Drosophila melanogaster: one gene and its partner. The protein of the gene in region 2 purifies or fractionates together with the protein of the main gene of each other region. This does not show direct contact. Each region holds a gene or a part of one and is shown on either strand. Other genes may lie near its edges.

Region 1 (3,626 bases), on a different chromosome or scaffold from region 2:
TGAATTTGGTCAGAAAAAGGAAATATTACATTTAAAAGATATAGTATAGAATGCAATAACAGGTATTCCCCATATTATTTTTTCAATTCCGTAGTGATAAAATGGCGCAATACCAGGCTACAAGTGCTTTCTTCCTGCTACTTCTATCATCCACACTAGTTAAATCAAGTGAGCCTTGGCTAGATACTTTTGAGCACCCCAAAGAGGAGACACCGGACGATGACGATGCAATCATGGAAAGACGTTGGCAGCTTGGCTACGAAAACTTTCGACTTCGCTGCGAAAAATTCGAGATGGAAGGTAATCAAACCGCTGCTGTGAGAACTCGAATAGCTGGAGGAGAATTGGCCACGCGCGGCATGTTTCCCTATCAAGTGGGTCTGGTGATTCAGCTGAGTGGCGCAGATCTGGTCAAGTGCGGTGGTTCCCTTATCACTCTTCAATTTGTTTTGACTGCAGCCCATTGTCTGACCGATGCCATAGCTGCAAAGATATACACGGGCGCCACCGTATTTGCCGATGTAGAAGACTCCGTGGAGGAGTTACAAGTCACGCATAGAGATTTCATTATTTATCCTGATTACTTGGGATTTGGAGGATATAGTGACTTGGCTTTAATACGACTGCCAAGAAAAGTCAGAACTTCAGAACAAGTGCAACCCATTGAGTTGGCTGGGGAGTTCATGCATCAAAACTTTCTGGTAGGCAAAGTGGTGACCCTATCTGGCTGGGGTTACTTGGGAGATTCAACCGACAAACGGACGCGACTCCTCCAGTACTTAGATGCGGAGGTGATCGATCAGGAACGCTGCATCTGCTATTTCCTGCCAGGATTGGTTAGCCAGCGACGTCACCTGTGCACCGATGGAAGCAATGGACGTGGTGCCTGCAATGGCGACTCCGGTGGCCCCGTTGTGTACCACTGGCGCAATGTTAGCTACCTGATTGGGGTCACCTCGTTCGGCAGTGCCGAAGGATGCGAGGTGGGGGGTCCCACTGTCTACACCAGGATAACCGCATATTTGCCATGGATCCGACAGCAAACGGCAATGACCAACTAAATGCAATTAACGCCTAATTGCAGCCCATTAATTGCTAAACAATATAGTCGGCCCAGACAATAAAACCAATTTGAGCAATGAAACCAAAACAGGTTCTTCTGTCGAGAAAGGAAGGTGCAAATGGTCCATTTTATGTGTGGTTGTTTTCTCTTGAATGAAAATTGTTACCGATAAATAACAATAAACATTTCGGCATTGCAGAAGAGCAAGTCAATTTGGGGAGCTCAATAAGGGCACAAAAGAAAAATTACATTGCCATGGAAATTGCTGATGAATCGCCACTGAAATTGAAATCATTGGGTTGAGTGTCCGTTTTTGGTGAGGGCATATTGGGTACAGACCGCAGCGCCTCCTCCCGCTAATCGCCTTCAATTGGCCATCTGAATTGGCTATTAACCGCAGTGATGTGGTCGGTTGAACGCGTCATAAAATCACGCGGCTTTCGCTGATAAAGAAGGCTGCGGTTGCGAAAACAACTGAAATTTGCGTGTTTGTAATCAAAGAGAGAGTCCAGATACGCAATTGTTAGACGGCGGTATGATTTCCTATGAAGTTTAAGCAGTCTTGACCAACTCACGTCCTACTCCTTGACCTTTATCGAAGGTAAACAAACCCAACTAAACTGTGGGCTTACGGCTTCTCACCCTATAGACAGGAGATAAGATAGCACTCGACTACCATGGGAATTATAAGATACGCTGAAGAGCAAAGCAAACCTTTGCCAATTTTGTATCGCAATATATAGTTATGTATATATCGCGTATGTGTAAAACTAATCAAATTAATTAGCAACCCCATGCTAGGCCTTTGGTATCGCAGCGGCTCGATCTGGAAATCCACTCGAAGCCCATAGCCCTGATTAGATCCGTATCGGGATTAATACTCTTGGATTGGGAAAGTAATTTTGGCGACCGTGTGGCTGAAGTTCATTCATTCATATCTTCGGCACAAAATCTCAACAGATAAGGTAGTTCGAACCGACTTTAGTGGTCCTATCTAATCGGGACAGCTCTATTTCTGAATTGCAACCCAATCGCAGACGCGACTTGGCCAGTATAAAAGACCCCAGCTGGTCCTTGGCCAAACAGTTGAGTTCCCTTAACTGAACAAGCAACAATTCCCAAGATGAAGTTCCTGATCATCCTTGCCCTGGCTGTGGCCGCCTCCGCTTTCCCCGAGCCGGAGCTGCGCCATCGCAGCCGCGAGATGCCCGTCGTTGGCGACATTGGAGGTCGCATCACCGGAGGAAGCAACGCCGCCGTCGGCCAGTTCCCCTACCAGGTGGGACTTTCCCTGAAGCTGAGTGCTCTGTCCAGCGCCTGGTGCGGTGGTTCTCTGATCGGCAGCACCTGGGTCCTGACCGCTGCTCACTGTACCGATGGGTGAGTGTCCCTTGAAGGAATGCCGAAAATATCTTGGAACCAATGTCCTAACCAATTGTATGTTTGATTTATCGCAGAGTTCAGTCCGTGACCGTCTACTTGGGCGCCACCGTGCGCACCTCCGCCGAGATCACCCACACCGTGTCCAGCTCCGACATCATCATCCACTCCGGCTGGAACAGCGCTAACCTGCGCAACGACATCTCCCTGATCAAGATCCCCGCCACCTCCTCCAGCAGCAGGATCTCCGCCGTCAAGCTGCCAAGCATCTCCAACTCCTACTCGACCTTCGTCGGTGACGTCGCTGTCGCCTCCGGATGGGGACGCACCAGTGACACCTCCAGTGGTGTGGCTACCAATCTTCAGTATGTCGACCTGACTGTGATCACCAACACCAAGTGCGCCCAAACCTACGGCACCTCGGTCGTGACCGACTCAACCCTCTGCGTGGCCACCACCGACGCCAAGTCCACCTGCAACGGTGACTCCGGCGGTCCTCTGGTCCTCAAGTCGTCCAGCGAGCAGATCGGTCTGACCTCATTCGGTGCCTCTGCCGGTTGCGAGAAGGGCTACCCCGCTGCCTTCACTCGTGTGACCAGCTACCTGGACTGGATCAAGACTAACACTGGCATCTAGGAAGGAGTCAGGAACTACAATTTCGCTTAAAAATAAAAATCATTTCTAAAAAATTCAAAAGTTTTATAGCTCTATAGGGGGAATTTCGGAAACGTAGATCTTCATTTATAAATTTCTTTACTCAATATAGATCAAAAGAGAACTTATGTTCCCAGTTTGAGGGTCGTCGGTTATAGTAACAATCCATATCGTCTTGTACATATGCTTTTGTCTAAAATCAAAAATCATCACAAAACAGACAAATGAAAATGAATGCAGAACCAAGCTGTTACTGGCATTCGGCGAGTAAGTTCTCATTAAAATTCATTAAATTGCCAAGCGACACAATTTTTTTTTTTTTTTATTAATTTTTATTATTTATTGAATCTTCCCTTTGTGTTAAGAGACTAACAATAAGTGTTCAAATCTTAATCTAACTTAATTAACTTTCACTTAGTGATAGTTTTTTTTTTTCATTAATGCCCTAATAAGTTTATTGCTGGGCTGGGAGGTCGTTGCGGTGCAGCCGGCTTTGACTGCATACTCGGATTAGTTTTCTTGCGAGGGG
Region 2 (8,055 bases):
TCCAAGGGCCATGTGGTCATTCCCTCGAACTTTGGAGGCAGTCCGGCGAAGAGGAACAGTGCCAAGACGGCTCAGCAGGATCTAACGCAAAACAACTTTGTGTGCTTCGTGGCCTGGGGATTGCCGGCCTTTCAAACGTCAGCAGTGATCGTTGCCCGTTTCGTGGATGCTGACGAGTTGCTTGGTGAGATATGCTATAGATCCGCCGGAGAATTCGGAGAGTAACCCAACCATACGCTCTTCTAGGCGCCTGTTTCGTAGGCAATCAGTCGGATAAGGCGCTACAGATATTGGTGGCTACGCCCGTTTTTTGCTACTGGATCTTTGGCTCGATGAATCTGATCTCCGGCTATTTGGTACACTGTCGCACCAAGGAGATCCTGAGGAATAGCAATGCACTCAGCGTGCAACAGCAACTGCAACAGCTAAGCGCACACAGTAGTTCCGGCATTGGCATATTCCTTTTCATCTATGGACTTGCATGTGCCATGCTTCTGTTGGCTGTCATTTACGAGTTTGCCAACATCGATGTCTGGCTGGGATCGGGTGATACCAATACGCCACTTTGGCCATTTTTGTTGCGCGCCTTCATGGAACTGATGCTGGGCATTTGCTGTTTTGCCTGGGTACTTGGACCAAGCATTTCCACTCTCTACAAGAGGCAAGTCAGCAATGGCAAAATGGTGAAGCATACGTCTGCCGGAGCAGCAACTGGACACCTGGACGGGCATAGTAGCTCGCGTGGATCGCATGCGGCTTGCAATAGCACGGTGGTCTCCTACCATTCGGTGCGAACTTCTATGGCCAGTGTTCCGTTGCCGCCAAGTCCGTACAAACTGAAGACTTCGCCTGGTACCGGCTCTATATCGCTGAATCAGATGTCCAACTATTCGCTGGGCAGGAGCGTGCATCACCAGCAGCGCCATTCGCCGCATCATCATCATCACCAGCAGCAGCAGCATCATCAGTTCCATCCCCACCACAATCACCAGCATCACTCCACATCCTCGCATCGGCTGTATTATCCGCCAGGTAGCTATGCCTCGCAAAAGTACAGCCAGCACGGCAGCTACTATCCCCACTTGCAGCAGTATGGCAATGAGACGCTACTCTAGACGGAATTGGATTAGGTACCATTTCAGGGCAGGAAATGCTTCCTGCTTCCAGTCAATGTTCCTGCAGCAGCTGCTGTGCCAAAGTCAATCCTCTACTATAACTTAATGCGGTTTCGGGTATCGAAAGAGGCAAAGCAACTTAAATGGGTGGGGAAACGGTCCAATTTGTTTGTCATAAAACGATCGTGAGATAACGATATCGTTATTTCGATTTTAGTTGCTTTGCCTGTCCATAGAACACAATGGGGTAAACCGATCTATGTACTGTGTATATAACCCCGGAAATGTGCTCTTAGTGCTTTAGTTTGGGCCTTTATCGCGAGGTCATAGGTCATCTACAATGTATTTGTAATTGCCCTAGATGGGCTTCATATCCTATTTTCCTGTGTGTACTTAATGTTGCTCCTAATTAGTTGCCCCTTGCGTTGCCTTTTTACCATTTTGGTGTAACCAAATTCAATAATCGCTCTTGCCTTTTAGACATTAGGACTTAATGTGTGTCGCCTTTGCGTACATAACACATATATACATATATATATTTAGCATTTTTATATAAATTCTTTTTTTTTGAGTTAGAGAGAGAGAGAAACGCGCAGCAACCAAATACTGTGATACGCATGTTCATGTCTTCAAAAACAAAAAAATAAAAATGGGAACCAGAAACTAGGTTTCCAACTTTGCTGTCTTCTCCCGATGCCGAAACAAGTGTACTTAACAATCGAAAAAAAAAAACGCAATTGCAATCGTAGCCGTAATGCCTAATTGTATTCAGTGTGCCATTAGCTTTAGGGACTTAACTGAAACGAGTCAATATCATGAAATTACCTTAAAAGAGTCCTTTTCCAGCAACGAACTTTGGCGGAATTACTGAGGGTTTTCCTTCAACTTCTGCTGATTTTCGCACAGAAAAAGTCCTACTTCTAAATGTCCAACTAACTAGCTAAGAAACTAACTAACCTTTATACAATTGCGGGCTAATACGAATCGTATGGAGCCCGCGACTAACAGTATATGTATTGTATTGTATTGTATTTTATATGTGTATTTTTTTTATTATCATATATGTATATGTATAACTTATTTGCTAGCGAATAAAGTGTCGAAAAGTTAATATCTGTTTTGATTCATTTCGTTTCGCATGGTTTTTACCAAGTAAAAGAGTCTCCAAGTGTCGCCAGTACTCCATGAGCATTTTGTTTCGCCTTCCTGCCAAGAAAATCGCCACCTTGCACAACCCACCTGGCAAGTGGGTGGCCCAGTGGGCGCCTACTGCCGTGTGGGTGGCAAGGTCGCCTCGCTGCGTGTTGGTTCGCATAGGACGATGGTTTCGTTGCGATTGTTGTTGCCGCTGCTGTTGTTGTTGCTGCTACTGGTCGTGGTCGACATGGCCCGCGGGTGCCAATTGTCAAGGTCCTCGTCGCCGTGCTCCTTGGCCCTGTGGTAGTTCTCCAATTCGCTGGCATACTTGCTGCTGGTGATACCAAGCAGGTGGGCCAGCCCACCGCCCACATAGTCGATGCCGGCCAGGAATCGGTTGCCCATCCTGCTGGCCTTGTAACGCAGGCGTGGTCCCAGCGGCATTTCGCTCTAAAAGGTGGCAAAAAAAAAAAAAGCGGGCTAAATGAGTCACGCTAAATGGTCAATGAGGAGGGGGGCGGGGGGTGGCAGCTGCTTATCTTTTTCGTGGCCCTGGGCCCTGTTTGTTTACTTAAACAGCTCAAAACACACATTTTCATTGAAAGATATAAAATTTCTCACATTATTATCATAATTCGCTTCGAACATTAGTCACGTCTCGAGCTCAAAGTGAAAAGTTATTATCTGGATCAGGAGAACTGGGCTAATCTTGAGCAAATTTAACTAACTGTGTTAATCCGGACAATCCCGCTTTAAAAAAGGTAAACAAGCAATGCAGCTACATGACCATGTACTAAATGGATGGCCGGAAGTGCATTACTCCACCCATAATCCTTGCTGAATGTATGTACCTCGTTTAAATGGACGTCGTAGCATTTGTCGCCCATTTCCGCATCCGCCTCGTCCTCGCTGCCCGAGGACAACTCCTCCATGACGCCGTCGCTAAAGTACAGCATGCGCTTGTTGGACTGCAGTTCAAGGGCGCTCACATTGTCCGTCTCGGATGCACTTGCTCCACTCGCAGATGCCAGTTCCAATCCTCCAGCTGCACTGCGTACTTCGCCACTCTTGTTCCTCTCCGCTGACATGGCTATGGATAGCTCTAAACCCGATTAAGTACCGCCTCGATTGATTGACGCTGCGCGAATGTTTTTGCTTGCGCTTGAGCTTCGTTTGAATCGCAGCCGCCGTTTTGGTCATGAAAAAAGCGGACGCGGGTCAACGCCAAATGCGTATACGGCCGGCTGGGGGCCAAAATGTCCTTGGGTTGGGGGCCACCGGCGAAACGACTCACAAACGGCGAGAATCGCGTGCCATGGGGCGCTTGGCGCAGTTAGGTGCAAAGCAAATCGATAAACTAAAAGCCGCTTTCAAACAGCAAAAAAAAAAGTCGAAACAAAACAAAGGTGCGGCAGTGTGACCAGCTGATGGTTTTTGCAAGCTAACTGGATATTAATTTAGATGTATTGTAATAAAAATGAAATTGCAGTCGTATATATCGTAAATGTTTTTGTTTATAAAAATAATTAATAATATAATAAAAAAATTAAGTTGTGCGTGCACATCCTGTGCTTATAATTTAAATAATATAACAATAAAAAATATTATATTATTAAATAATTAAGTTTAATGGTTTCCTACTCTGTACAATTGACTGGTGCAATGGTTATTAACTTAGCAATATATTCAAAAACTAAAATGGTTATCTAGTGTTCCATATTTAACCATCGCTTGCAATGCATCGCGTTTTAAAGCTCTGGTCACACCAAACAGCTGTTTTGTTTGCTTCGTTTAATTCGTTCTTTTTGCAACAAATTGCATCCCAATCTTCCAAAGCAGGTATCCAAACATGGAGTCCCCAACCTCGCACCTGGTGGCCAAGGGTGAGTGGAAAAAGCGGCAGCCGTCAATGGAATCGGGGTCATAAATTCCCAATTAGATTTCCAGGTGACGGGTGTTTCGCGCAGCGGACGCGTACGCAAAAAATCGTCGAAATTGTTGGATTTTGAATCTCCGGATGAGATCGAGAAGCGCACAAGGCGTCACAGTGGCGCCAGACAGCCAGCCAGATATTCGGGCCGCGGCAGGCCATCGAATGCGCTGCGTGATCTGGATCTTGACCAGGAGATGCTCGTGGATGATGGCATTATCTCGGATAGCGAGGAATTCCATCCGGATACAACGGCAACGGTCGTGGCCATTCTGAATTCCGACGATGAACTGGACAATCTGGTGCAGGATATCGTCGATGGTGTCCAGGCGGAGGCCACCAGCCAAGAGTCATCCGTCCGTCAGAGTCTTTACATGCGCGAGAAGTCCAACAAGCGGCAGGTGCTCAAGGACGGCAAGGTGGTGAGTGCCAAGGTGCAGCGCAAGGACAAGGGCAAGCAGCGCTACACCGCCTACAGTCTGTGGGCCAAGGAGGCGCGACAGAAGGATCTCCAGGATCTAGGTAGGTTGCTACACATCTGTGCGCTCTCTATCGCTTATTGACCATTCCCCGCACGCTTGCAGACTTCACCAGCGCGACCAGACGCCTCAGCGAGCTGTGGGCGAACGTTTCCAATCGGGACAAGAACACCTGGCGGCGCAAGGCCAAAATCGAGGCGTCCAGGGCCAAAACTCGCGACAAAACCGCTGCAAACGGTGCAACCCAGCCGGCGAGCAACGGCAGCACGGCTCTGGCAGATGCCACGCAGCACGAGACGATCTTTCAGAACCGTGCGACAACAAGTCGCACTCGAAAACTGGCCGCCGATCGGCAGCAATCCTCAATAGAAGCGGCTGCCGCAGCGGCGGCAGCAGCAGCGACTGGCACCAACACACAGCGGCGCAGCATCAGCACACGAAGTGCCAGGTCGCAGGTCTCGAAGAGCGCGACGAAACAAGCGCAAGTGCACACGGATGCGGACGTCAGCGGCCGGACTGGGGGTCAGCTGAAGCAGGAGGAGGTGCAAAAGACCAGCATCGAAGTGATCGATGCGGCCGCACATCTGAAGCTGCTCGGCGAGAGCCTGACTGTGATTGGCGAGCGACTGAAGAAGCACAATGGATACGTGGCGCTATCGGGCAGCTTGTCCGTGCTCCTCGACAGCCTGCTCTGCGCCATGGGACCGCTGCTCTGCATGACCACGCAAATACCCGGCATGGAGAACAATGTGCAGTTGAGCAAAAATCTGGCCGACACGCTCGACAACATCGCCTACGTAATGCCCGGACTATGAAGTAAATTCCGGATTGCAACTGCAAATGCATACATATATATATATATATAATCATACCAGGCCGCTGCGCTTCCAGCGGCGACTAGAGTCGCCATCGGGATCTGTATGTTTGTAAGGAGTTGGCCAACCTGGAAATAGTTAATCGCATTAGATATGCCTAGTTGATAAACTGAAGCATCTAGATCGTAAGTAAAAGGTCTCCCTCTAATTGAGTTTTTTTTTTATTTGCTTCTTGAATTGAAATTCGTACGCTAAAAAGTTTAGTAGTTCACTTATTTATTTCCACTTTTTGTTTTTTGCAACATTTAAGCACAAATCATCGAAACATTGGTAGAATTAGGCAACATTAAATATCCTATAATCCTTAAGTGAAATAAATGTGAATCACAAGATTCTTATTTCAGCTTCAAATTAAGCAGGCACTTTTTATAATAAACGTAATAAATAAAGATAAATATAAAAGCTAAAAATATGAGATGATTTCTTCCTCTGCCCAAAAATCTTTATAAAAGTGAAATATTTTTAAAAATGATCTCAAATAAGCCATAATTGAAGGTTCGAATAGTGGAACTATAAGCTAGATATAAACTTTAAATATTTATAAATACGTTAATTATTTGCTTACTTTCTAGAGATGGCACTTCGCTGGTGCGCCATCGATGACTTGGCTTGCCGTTACAACGGCGAGCTATCGATGTTACATCGCCGCCCTGCCCACCACTAGCCAGTCCGCGGAAAGTAAATAAGAAGACGGACGCCAAATCGAATCTTCCCACATCCCCGGATGCAGTGCAGCAAGCTCTGGGTCCCTGAGAATCCTGCGTGGGCCTGGGATTCCGAATCCTCTTCCGCCCCGGATCCGCACGTCAGCGCGGCATCCGCATCCGCCACCGCTTCCGCCCACGCACAGCATCCGCAGCCACATCCGCGGCAGCAAAAAAACGGTGAGTTTTCCACCTGCATTTTTTTTTGGATTTTCCGGGGGGGGGGGGGGCAGCAGCTGTGATTGGGATGGAAAATACTTGTGTAGGTGGACGGTCAGGTTGTAGGGGCGAATTGCGTGACGGCAGCGCTACAAATTGGATTAGTGCGGCGATTGATTCTGAATGGGAGATGTAAACAATCTTCCTGTGCACTGAGAAAAATAACATGGTAAAGCAAGGCACAAAAAAAGATGGAAAGATTGGTTGAATAAGATAAAATAGGTTTAAGACTAAGCTGAAATATCATTAGCCAAAAAACATGAATGTGAAATGAATTACTTTAAAGGATTCTTAAGCACAATTTGTTTAGAAAATAAATTCGATTCAGTAACTGTTAAATTCAAAGCTTAAAAAGAAATGGAATACCTTGCGATTTGCAGTCCAGACATTTTCTCGCAGTGCACTAGCTCCCCGCCCGCTGTTTTGTAATTGGCAATATAAGGAATGCCCGAGGTATCTATTTTTATACCGCTTAGCATAGTCGTTATGGTGATAAATTCCGAAGGGGGGGTGGGGGGTTTGTTCGTTATGCTTTTCAACCCCGTGACCTCCCACCGCGCCCAATGGGGCATACTTTTGGGGGCGCCGGGAACTGGGAGGTGTTTTAATTCCACCATCGTTGGTTTATTGAAAAGTTGTCATAACTCAGAACAGACAAGCCAGCAAAGTTTCGAGTCCTCTCAATTGCGGGCAAATACAGGCAGATCTTAAAACTATAATGTTTCATTAAATTCACGCCGTCATTGAATCGAATATCGTGTTTTCCCGTTGGTAACTATCTAGATATATGAACTAATTTAAAAGGAAAACTCAAGGTTTTTATGTAAAACGAACGCGTGGTTTTTCTAGCAGCTCATTTTCATTTCAATTGAACTTTAAGATGAGCTTAAAACTCGCCTTTCGCATTTCAAATACCAAATAATTGGTAAACATTGCCATTTACACAATCAATCATATTATAACTTCTTCGGGTAATGAGAATGAAAACCTTTTCTTTTGGATTGAAAGTGCAATCGGATTCCGAGAGACGCCATAATCATAATAGTGCGCCCGCGGATGGGCATATGTTCATTTGTACATACATACATCTCATCCGAATCGGACTTTGAGCCATGTTCTCGACACGCGAGATAAGCGGCCGGCAATCAGAGAACTGGTTTCAATTGCGGATCGGGTCAAAATCGCCCAACCTTGGGCCATTGTATGCAAGTTGTCTGTGCGAAACTCAATGAGCATAAATTAGTCTCAATGCAGGAATGCCTCAAGTGTCCGGCCGCTCGTCCATTTCCATTGTCCAACCATTATTGCAGCTGGCCAAGCGCTGGCTTATCACTCGAGGCGAGGCCCAAAAGGCGAAGATAGAGACGAATGATAATCAATTGGCCATAAAACGGGTGAAGTGTGGATGGTGTTTGGGTTAGCCGGGTTAGTCGTCGTCTGTCTAATCGAGTGGCAATCAATCAATTTGGCAAATCGGACAACCAATTCACAATCTAATCCACAGTCTATCCACGATGAGCAACAGCGAAGGAAGCGGCCACGAAAGTGGAATCCGTACACTGAATCGCAATGCGAATGGAAACGGCAATGGAGACC

Evidence for each region. Proteins that work in one complex are often made in the same cells at the same time.
Region 1: the proteins of CG8300 (region 2) and Jon65Aiv purify together in Drosophila melanogaster (affinity purification with mass spectrometry, with the first as the bait; one large-scale study listed by BioGRID). This does not show direct contact.

Annotation. Positions count from the first base shown.
Region 1 is NT_037436.4:6,037,010-6,040,635, forward strand, and holds Jon65Aiv (jonah 65Aiv), read left to right. Parts: upstream 1-2,145; 5' UTR 2,146-2,186; coding exon 2,187-2,443; intron 2,444-2,520; coding exon 2,521-3,079; 3' UTR 3,080-3,126; downstream 3,127-3,626. Other genes in the region: CG6462 (uncharacterized protein), read left to right, coding at 102-1,061.
Region 2 is NC_004354.4:7,100,441-7,108,495, reverse strand, and holds CG8300 (uncharacterized protein), read right to left. Parts: upstream 3,612-8,055; 5' UTR 3,341-3,611; coding exon 3,104-3,340; intron 2,703-3,103; coding exon 2,382-2,702; 3' UTR 2,151-2,381; downstream 1-2,150. Other genes in the region: fz4 (frizzled 4), read left to right, coding at 1-184, 247-1,115; CG4617 (uncharacterized protein), read left to right, coding at 4,102-4,135, 4,192-4,704, 4,767-5,476; CG4615 (uncharacterized protein), read left to right, coding at 7,974-8,055.